2 separate regions of the Mus musculus genome follow, and region 1 is reported to be linked to region 2. Evidence: microRNA targets listed by miRTarBase, many of them from high-throughput screens and not tested one by one. Region 2 holds a microRNA gene; the other region holds the end of a gene's coding sequence.
The links. Region 2 holds the annotated microRNA mmu-miR-412-3p (UUCACCUGGUCCACUAGCCG, at 1,996-2,015, opposite strand). A microRNA usually pairs through its seed, bases 2 to 8, with sites in the 3' UTR of a target mRNA and lowers its output. Matches are read on the target gene's strand: a 7mer-m8 pairs with bases 2 to 8, a 7mer-A1 pairs with bases 2 to 7 and ends in A, and an 8mer does both.

Region 1 (5,142 bases), not on the chromosome of region 2:
ATGCCCTGAGGTGCTGTCGAACTCATCAAATCCTTTCAAGGGTGAGCTATCCTGAGATTCAGTTTCCTTACAAAGTGCCACGTCTCCACTTAGTAGGCATGATGACTCTTTCCGTTTTTTTCTTGGCAGGAAAGCCTTGTTTTCTGTCTTGTTTATCTGTCTGGGACTCCGTATTGTACTTACTTTTCTAGTTCAAAGAAGTTGAACTGGCCAATAAATAAAACTTTTACTTTTGGTATCAAAATTCTAATATTGACACTCATTTTATTTCATAATATGTCATAATAGTTGATAGCTTAATGCTGGCTCTGACTGAAAGCAGTCATGGGAGAAGGCGCAGAGCTGATCGTTTGCATAACATATCAACTGAGCCATTGCTTTATGAAAGAAACAGCTTGAACATAATTGTTTATTTGCTCTCTTTAGATCAGTGTACTGTTACCCGAACATACATTTTCCTCCACAAGTTCTGGTTCTTCAGTGCTGCATACTATTTTGGTAACTGGGCCTTTCTCGTGGTAAGTCTATGAAGCCAAACATGACTTGGCCTTCCTTTAACACAATTAAGTGCATGCTTGTATGTATGTCAGTTTTCTGCCTGAATCTTATTACTGTCGCTGAATGGTTTTGAGAGGTGCCCTTGATATGTATGTGAGTGAATGCCACATGTGTGCAGGTACCCATGGTGCCCAGAAGGGAATCAGAGTTCCGGGAGATGATGTTAGGGGAGTTCGCTAGCTGCCCCAAGTGACAAGTCTTAGCGATTGTGTCACACACACTCTTTACTCCAGCTGCTGAGTTGGCACTGTGTTGCATAATGTTTACATTTCAGTAACACTGCTTATTTGAATTTAAAGGTGTTCTTGATCGGATTAATTGTATCCTGCTGTAAAGGGAAGAAGTCAGTCATAGAAGGAGTGGATGAAGATTCGGACTTAAGTGATGATGAGCCGTCTGCCTACTCTGCGTGAACGGCCTTCTGTCCTAAGGGCTTAATGAAGCTGGCTGAATATCTATTATGCGTTTTCAAAAGTTTAAAGTAACATTAAAATGAACTGTCTAGCTTTCATCAAAAATGAGAGCATGGCCATTAAAAAGTACTATATTTTTTATGTTTCCTGAAGTAGCATTATTGTATCATAGATTAACATTTAAAATTGCTATAATACTGTGTAAATACAGAGTTTCCAGGTTTGTGAGGGAATGTTTGTGGAAATTTTCTTTATTGTAAAATAGTGTTAAATTTATTAAAATCTTACACAATATACATTCCCTTTGTTGCTTTTAAGAAACATAAGAAGTCACTTTGTCTTGTGCCTTAGGGTCTCTGGAATAATGTGAAACTTTTAAGTAGCTTCCGCTGATTGGCTAAACAATGTCTCAGTATTGCTTGTGGGTAAGCATAACTCATGGGCAGCTTGCTTTCAATTCTGCCCATAACATAATGAGTCTAACTCAAGTAGAGTTCGTGAAAAAGTGTTAAACTGCCTAAAACCACAAGACTCTAAGATGTGTTCCAGGTGGCAGTGTTCAGATCTTAATCCATGGAGTACCTCTACAAGAATATGTAGATAAAATTTGTTTTATAGAAGGCTTTGAAACTTGGAAGGTCATAAATGGAAATGTCAAGAATGAATGCTGAAGACTGAGCTTACTAAGCGTGGTAGGTCACGTGACAGCATACTCAGCTGCTTCTCATGTAAAGGATTTGGAAACCTGTGAAAGAAAATGAAAGTTGTGTGACTTAACAGAGTTTTCTGACTGCGTTCTGGGCAGTGAAAATAAAGGCTTAATTCGCTAATGTCAGCTAGGACTTATTCAAAAGTATTTACCGGGATGCTTGAAGTAAAAGATCTGTATGGCTCAGGAGAAGACCTAAGAGTTAACTCGTCTGCCCCTGAATCTTCGGCCCAAGTTCTGACTGTACTTGCTGCTCTGATTGATTCCCTGCCTCACCTGAGAAGCTTCTAGAACCTGCTAGGAGACTTGGCTTCTGTTCCCACTCTTATGTGATTCACCGGGATGCCGATCCCTTCTGCTCCTAGTTCACGTTTTGGGGGTGTGGGTCAGTCCCTTGGCCTCCCCCTGCATCCCGACCCTGTACTCTTGCTTGTCTGTAAGCTCCGTTACTGCTTCAGTTGCAACACTAAGCCTCTCTGCTGTTTGTTTATAGCAAAAGGCCTGGCCTGTCAGTATTAGGCTCCCATATTGTGCCCACCAAAAATCAAGACCGCCTTATATATGAAGCCCATCATGAAGTTGTGTTGGTTTTTTTCTGCCTATCTTTTCTTTACTCTGTCCTCTCTTCTATCTACTTGGTGCCACTTACCCTGTTAGAATATATCCTTCCAAAGTCACATGTTGAAGTCCTCACTCTAGCTGGAGAAATGGCTCAGCAGTTAAGAGCACTGGCTGCTCTTCAGAGGTCCTGAATTCAAATGCCAGCAACCACTTGTGATGGGATATGATGCCATTTTATGGTGTTTCTAAAGTCAGGGCACTCATATATATAAAATAAATAAATTTAAACAAAGAAAGGTAATCTAGGTAAGATTAGGCCGTTGAGTGGATCCCTCCTAGAGATGTCTGGGCTCTGCAGGCAGCTTGGGGACGAAGTCATGGAAGGACACAGAAAAAGGCAATCTATAAGCCAAAGAAAGAGACCTCTAGAAGCCAGCTCTGCCAGCACTTTGCCTGTCAACATCTGGCTTCCATAGCTGTTGGATAATACATTTTCACTTGACAACCCATTGAGTCCATGGTGTTTGCCATTGAGCCAAGGCAACTAACTAACACACGCTGCCTCCTAAACTTCCTCACTACCTGTGCTTCCAAGTCCTGACTCCTCTCAGCTTTTTCTTGACATTTAAAACAGAAATGGAATTAGTTCATTGCTTCGCTGTGAAAGGCTTTCACTTATTTTAAAATGAAACCCGTAAGCCCCTGCATGGTATTTAAGGCCGTTCTGATGTTTTATTTGCTTGCAGGGCTCTTGGCCATTTCCTCTGTATTTACATGAGTGATTCCTCATAGCCGTACTTGAATGGTTCCTTCTGCATACTTGAATGCCCAGGCAGCCTTTCCCCTAAGGAAATTCTTTATCAACCCTTGGGCTTGGGGTTATGTTGCTCCTCTAAGGGCTGGAGGAGAGAAGATGCTGGCTCTTGGCTGTTTGTGTGGACCATGACAGGACAGCGGATGGTGACTGACTGCTTCCATGTGCACCTGCACATTGCAAAGGTTTTCTGACTTTGTTCTTGGGAACCAGAATAACTCGTAGAGAATACTCGTAGAATAACATGTAGAGAGTACTAATAGGTGAATTTGCTAATTTGAAGCTATAAACATGTCTACATTGGTTAAGCCTACATAAACTATACTTTTATCAAAGTATCAGGAGGCATATATATCTTTTGAGACTTTTTTTGCTATCTAATAAGTTTAGAAATATCCTAATTATTCTATATACTTACGATAGGATTTTTTTTTGTTAGACCAACTTCTTAGCTTACCATGGTACTCTTTATTGTTTAAACAAGAAAATTTTAAATATATATTTTGCTCCTTTCATTTCCTGAGTGTTAAGAAGCCTACTTTATTCAAATGCTACTTTGTCCCCCTTTTGGTGTAATGAAATGTGTTGGACTTTATATTTCCATAAAGCTGACTTCTAAGTGTCACGACTTCGACTAATGAACAGCTTCTCTCCTTTGAAGTCTTCACAGAAATGCCTAAATTAGAGATCATTCAGAGCATTGGCTTTCCAAAGACTGAGGGCCCTCATGTCCCATGTCGACTTCAAAGTGATCAATTTATGTAGCCATGAATCGGAAATGAGAAGCCTGGAACCAGCTTCTAGCCAGCTCAGGGCTGCTGCAGCAAAGGAAGTTTAAAAAGGAAACAAAACAACAACAACAACAACAAAACCCTTACTGTGCAGGTAAAAAACTGGTTAGGAGCTCCAAGGAGAAAAAAAAAATAAAGTAGCAATGTTTTCATGAACCTACAAGATAGATCAGCAGTGGCTCGGGGCGTGGTGGCACGCCTTTAATCCCAGCACTTGGGAGGCAGAGGCAGGTGAATTTCTGAGTTCAAGGCCAGCCTGGTCTACAGAGTGAGTTCCAGGACAGCCAGGGCTACACAGAGAAACCCTGTCCCGAAAAAACTAAAAAAAAAAAAAAAAAAAAAAAAAAAGATCAGTAGGTAGTTTGCACACAGGCCTTCCCATCTGAGTCCCATCTCAGTCTCCCAAGGAGAACAGGCCAGAGAGACCTGGATCTCAGAGGACCCAGAGAGAACAAGCTCCTGAGACTGGTCCCTGACCTGCCTATGCCTGCACTCCCACATATGCAGCATAAACTAATAGTGTTTTCTGGTGTACTACTAAGGTCTTATGAATGTTACATATTTAAAGTAATGTACTGATTTAGAAACAATCTACAGACACAGCACACTTGATGTTGGCCACTTTGTCATCTTTCTGTCACTATGACAAAACAAAATCATATTAAAAGGAACTTTGGTTCCCAAATGCAAGTGTTTGAGTTGATGTTTTCCTTGCCCCCAACCTTTTTGTGAGGCCAAATGACATGGTAGGGATCAGACAGTGGGTAAAATACCTTGTGTTCCAGTAGCAGTGAGAGTGTGGGGTTCCAGTGTCCCATTCCAGAGCACACACCACATGAAATGAACTCCTTCCACTAGGTCTCAGCTCCTAAAGGTTTCACCATCGCTTAACAGTGCCACAGGCTAGCAACCGAAACTGATACTTAAGATAATAAGCAGGTAAAATGATGGTTGGTTTAAAAAGCAGGGGGCGGGGGAGAGAAGACCTTAGCTGCGGGACCATGGGTGTAGGGAGGGAAGGGGGAGGAAGAGAGCCCGCATCCGGACAGAGTTCCAGTGCTCTGGGCAAGGGGATGCAGGAGGACTGCTGGACACTTTGCATGCAGCCCCGGGAGGGCATCTGGCTGTGTAAAGCCACTGACCCCACATGGTGGGGGGTGGACAAAGGGCAGCCCCTGGTACCAGGTTTTCAGTCTCTGGTATCCCACACTGGATAGGAGCTGAGAACAGAATAGGGGTCCCAGGGCGACACTAGGCCCTGGAGATAAGGGAAGCGGGCAGAGGGAGAAGGGGACG
Region 2 (5,264 bases):
CAGGACCAACTCCCAGAGAGAGGGCGCCTGGGCAGACCATCCTGAACAAGAGAAGAAATCTAAAGGAGACCATGTGCTAGGTACAAGCCAGGGTGCGCAGCCACTATCTCTGTTGGAAGAGCATTTTGCTGCTGAGGAGGCCCAGAAGAGGAGAAAAAGCATGCAGGGTGGAGTTGCCAGGGTGAGGGTGCTACTTGCTCCAATGGGGAGCAAGCCCAATCAGAAAGAGCTCTTTGCCACCCTGGGGAGCCTTACTAAATACCAAAAATCTATAGCCTGTCTTTCAAAGGCTCCTACTGGGTGTGATCAGGTACTTTCTGGGGTCCTTGAGACTCTAGGTCAAGCCTCTACAGTAAGCTCACAGGAGTCTGACAGAGCCAGAGTGTTAAGTTGGAGGAAACATGAAGAAGTGCAGGCTACATTGGACACGCAGACTTTGTGTGCCCCGGTACAGGGGAACGCCAGGGCCAAAGGGGGGGAGTGGGTGGGTAGGGGAGTGGGGGTGGGTGGGTAAGGGGGACTTTTGGTATAGCATTGGAAATGTAAATGAGCTAAATACCTAATAAAAAAAAAATGAAAAAAAAAAAAAAAATAAAAAAAAAAAAAAAAAAAAAGAAGTGCAGGCTAATCCCTACTGGGCCCCCTGTGCTCGTGAAGCAGGGACAGAGCTTGGGTATCACTGCCTTGTAGACTCAGGAGGACATTCTGTGCTATTTCCAACAGGGTGGCACTGAGGACAAGACAGGCCAAGGGATGGTCTCACATACAGACTAGAGAGTCAACCAACACAAAGGCTTCAGTTCTTGGCATCAATGCCTCAAAGTAGAAATGGTCTAGGGTAGGACATGGTGCAGAGAAGTAGGCTGTGGGATAGTCATCAGATAGAAAACAAACGTCTCAGAGACAAGCTAGCTCAGGTACCACCAGCACGGACTCTACTTAGGATGCTTCTTCCTCTAAGATGCCCTTCTGGACTTCCCAACCCCCACCTCAGGAGATGTGAGGCTCTGGGTCAGGATGAGTCAGCTACATGCCTGACCATCAGTGGTGTCCAGTGGGTCAGCAAAGTGTGTCCCTCCCCTGACACCCATGCTCACACAGTAAGAGCCAATGATAAAGAGAGGTGACCATGCACTGTACCAGCATTAAGAATGGAAACCCGTCACGGGCAATCTCACCTCAGATACTAGGAACTGCACGTGTAACCAACTGGCCTGGCTCTTCCCTAAGTATCATGCTAGCCCCTCCAAGCCCTCATGGTATTGAGAAGCACCCAGGGTACAGGGCATTTGAGCATGCAGCCCTCGGTGGAAGCCTTAGACAGGGACAAACACCCATTGTTGTGGCGGGAAAGAGGCATGGAAAGTGGACAGCCATCCATTGCACATCTGGCCAATGCTTCGTGGCCCAGCCTACAAGGTTGGTGCGATCCCAGGAGGCTCCTCAGAGCTGAGGTTCAGTGAAGAGGGGGTGACAAGCGTCATACAGAGTCCATGCATTTACCTACCGGGCAGTGGTGTGACACCTGGTATGTACTGCCGAGTGACCGGAGTGGCAGGTGGTATTGAAAACAGGCCATCTGTGTTATATTCGTCATTAATAAAGCGAACTCATCACAGACAACCTCTCCTCAAGTACCCAGTGTTGACCGCAGCAACCCTGGAGCTGGAATCACCACCTGAAGCTGTCCTGGGGGGAAGGGGGGGATTGCATATAAATGGTGAGTAGGGTTGACACAGGCAGCACACAGCCTGTTCCACCCAGCCCAGTTCCCCGCGGAGGCAGCAACCTAGAAGCACCATGCTGTCCCCACCCCCACAGGGGCTGCAACTCCAAGAGCTTCTCCAAGCTGAGCGTTGATACTGAGAAAAGATCAACCATGTATTATTCGAAGTCAGCCAAGCGAATATAACACGGTCGATCTCCCTTCAAGTACCAGCAGAGGTGTTGAGCTGAGGCTGTGACATCCTGGGCGCAGGCTGCAGCGGGCACCGACGGCTAGTGGACCAGGTGAAGTACATTAGAAACAATTACTTTCCAGCTGGTCGACCATCCGTCCCATACCCCAGAGCGAGATGAGTCCATGGTCTTCCCTGAGGTGGCCTCCCTGGAGGGATTTGATACCGAAAAGGGGTTCACCGAGCAACATTCGTCCTCCAGATGCAAAGTTGCTCGGGTAACCTCTCTCCGAGTACCACGGAGAGGCTCGGATGCTCAGAACGAGGCCGATGGCTGAGTTTCCAGAAGAACCATCCTGGAGCCCCTCAGAGATTATAACTCCCCATTCAGTGAGGAGCCACCCTCCACCACGTGAAAGCAATTATTCCATCACCTCCCCAGTGCAATCTACCACCCTTTCACCTTCCAAGAATATCTAAAGCCTTCCCAGACAACCTTGAGACCCAGGTAGCGAGGAGCTGACTCGGGGCAGAAGTGGGTGCAGAACTCTGCTTACTCTATCTCTCCTTTGTAAGCTGGAGATAGGGAGATGCTGAGACCCTGCGCATATACCACACCACCCTCCCAGAGACGATGCCTTCCAGAAGCGAGGAGGCAATGACTGCATCATCCAGAGATGCTCCTCCTTGGGCCCACCCAACCACTGCAGCCCCACGACCCTGGCATCCCCGCCCTGTCACCTGCCCCCTCCCCCCACGGTGATGTCATAGCAAGAACTGCTTGACCATCCAGTCCTATAAACCAAGCAAGTAATGCTTCAAAGATAAACATGGAGGGAGGAGAGAAAGAACAGCGGAAGGAGATCCCGCAGGGTCCCCTTGTGCCAGTGTGTATGGCTGCCCCGCACGAGCACGCCAGGGAGGGCTCTCCAGTAAGGGTCAGGATCCATTGACTTAGGCCATAAGCAGAGTATGGATTCTGTGTTCGCCACTCATTTTAAAACTCTTGGAGTGTGACCAACATCAGAATCCCTTCTCTGATTTTGGCAAGAGTTCACACAGGCTTCTAGCCTTGCTGCAGGGCAGCAAGAGACTGGTCACATGCAGTGTGTCATACGGGGAAAAGACGCCACGGGCAGCTTCATGTAGGTGTTCTGGAAACTGACCTGTGGGACAGAGGCTCTTTCCCCAGCTGGCATCACCTCCTGGAAATGCTCCTAAGAGGCACACAATGGCGATGATGGTGGCTAACGGTAGCTACAAGATCCAGTCAACAGTATGGGGAGGGAAGCTTGTCCAGGTTCTTCCTCCAAGCACTTGTCCTGGAGAGAGCTCCAGCCACTGACCAGTTCCAAGACAATGATGTAGCCTCTGGAGTCCTTTGAGGTAAAGATCCTTTTGGAAAGAGAGCCACCATGAAACCTGGTGCTCATCACACCCCAGATAGTATATTAGACCCTGGATACATCCACTCTAAAATGACCTCCCGTACGGGCCTAGCCCTTCAGCACCAACAATGGGTACGTCTTTAAGCCTAGCCCTGGGAGCTGGCAACATGGAAACCCAAGGAAGGGCAGGCCCTAGAATGTTCCAGGTACCAACTGCTCGGCAAGAGCAGACTCCCCAGAACCAGTGTCTTACCCGGAATGTTTCATGAGGATCGAGGAAAGTGAAGAAGACTGCTCAGTGGGCACGTGCTCTGGCACTGGTACCCAGTCACATCCTCCAGGTGACACCCGCCAGCTTCTGAATACTCCATGAAGCTCTCTGTAAAGGTTTGGGATGGGAAAATAAAGTTTAGCCACATTAAAAAAAAAAACCCACATGGTGACCAGTCCTTCTTATCACCCCACTAGCTCTAGTCTATATCCATAGATTTCCCCATCTCAAACACCACACCCACATTGATTTTCATAAAAAAACATGCATTTCTTTCCTTTTTTTTTTTTTAAAGTAAATTCCATTAAACTAATCCAATTCCCTGTTTAGCTTCCTTGACTGTGCTGTTGGGCCATTTTCATTTCTTTTATTTCCCTTGTTATTTCCTCAAATCATTTTCATTAGGATCAATTCTTTCCCATTTAAAAATCTGAACGAAGATTTGATTCCTCAATGTGCGTTCATCTACCACAAATATTACTGCTCATAGCATCCGCCACTACTGAAGCTGCCCCTTGCGGCTGCCATGTCTACAGAGTACTGTTTCCCCAGGTCAAATGTCGCAGCTCAAATGTTGTCAAGAAAATTGGATTCTTCTGCCAATTTGTAGTCAATTGAACACATTTTCCTCCAAGCTATTCTGGTAGTTTGTGGTGTTATTTTGTGATTATTTTATCACTATTATTTAATGTAAACGGGATGAAATGCTGGTCGCCTCTATTCATTTCCTAACCCATCCAAAAATGGAGAACAAGGTTTGGTGAGCGATGAGGACGAAAGAGAAACAGACAGAGGTGTGTTGAGGGGGTGGGGTGGGAGGGGGGAAAAACAGATGGTATGTGAGCACTCCTGACCCAGTGAGTTGAGGAGAGGAAGGGGGTGGGGAGGGAAGGCTGCCATTGTCCTTGACACTGTCAAAGGACAGAGTTCATTTTGTCAAGGTATCTTCAGAGTAGAGATAGAACAGCGAGTGTGTCTGCAACTAGGGGGGCTAGGTGCTGGTGTGACAAAGAGGATTCAGGCTGAGAAGAGTCAGGGAGTAGATATTGGCATCTCTCCATTGGTTCCTGGGACTACATGTCTGGTCACGTGGCGTTCTGAGCCACACCCCTTCCTGACCATCCCCATATCCACACCTTCCATTCTAGCACATGACATTTGCAGAGACCCCAGAACTTTGTAACGTGTCCCCAATGCCACCCCAAGCAGGCTTTGATACTCAAACAAAAGTTGCCTTTGTGTGATTCAACATCAATAAAGCGAATTCACCAAGGGCAACCTCTGCTCAAGAATCAAACGTCAGCACAGGCCGAGAGTTGAGCAGGGCGCCTCTTCCCCAGGCAGCCCTGCCTCCCTCGGCTCTGGCTCCCTGACTCCCACCCTCTAGGGAGGCTGGCATTACCTCCGATGAGCCCCCAGGTCCAACTGCAAAGCAGACTAGCAATGGACTGACTTGCAGAGTTCTCTCCTGCCTACAGGTGGCCAGAGACTTGTACAGACATCCAGGCTTTGGCCAGAAACTGGTCACTCACCCAGAAGCACACGGACACCAAGTCTGAATCCCAAAGTGTTTCTCCTAGAGAAGTCCTGAGGTAGGTTTGACATAGAAGAAACCATGACTCTCTGTGTAGTAGGGTCCATCCTGCCCACCAATGAAGGCTGACCTAAAAGAGGATAACTCCCTTTCCAAGGCAGTATCCTGAGAGA

Region 1: the mRNA of Lmbrd1 is a reported target of mmu-miR-412-3p. Seed matches in the 3' UTR shown: 7mer-A1 at 3,317-3,323 and 8mer at 4,075-4,082.

The regions. Positions count from the first base shown.
Region 1 is chr1:24,761,766-24,766,907 of GRCm38, forward strand. Lmbrd1 (LMBR1 domain containing 1) reads left to right here. Exons shown (of 16, transcript NM_026719.2): 15 at 427-518; 16 at 858-4,536. The coding sequence ends at 971. Among named protein-coding and RNA genes, the nearest start is that of Lmbrd1, 86 kb to the left of the region's middle.
Region 2 is chr12:109,740,091-109,745,354 of GRCm38, reverse strand. Mir412 (microRNA 412) reads right to left here and starts at 2,066; the gene lies at 1,987-2,066. Mirg (miRNA containing gene) reads right to left here. Exons shown (of 8, transcript NR_028265.1): 3 at 3,540-3,665; 4 at 3,065-3,293; 5 at 1,937-1,998; 6 at 1,508-1,689. Mir377 (microRNA 377) reads right to left here and starts at 4,845; the gene lies at 4,778-4,845. It overlaps Mir541 (microRNA 541), which reads right to left and starts at 2,946; the gene lies at 2,857-2,946. It also overlaps Mir409, Mir369 and Mir410.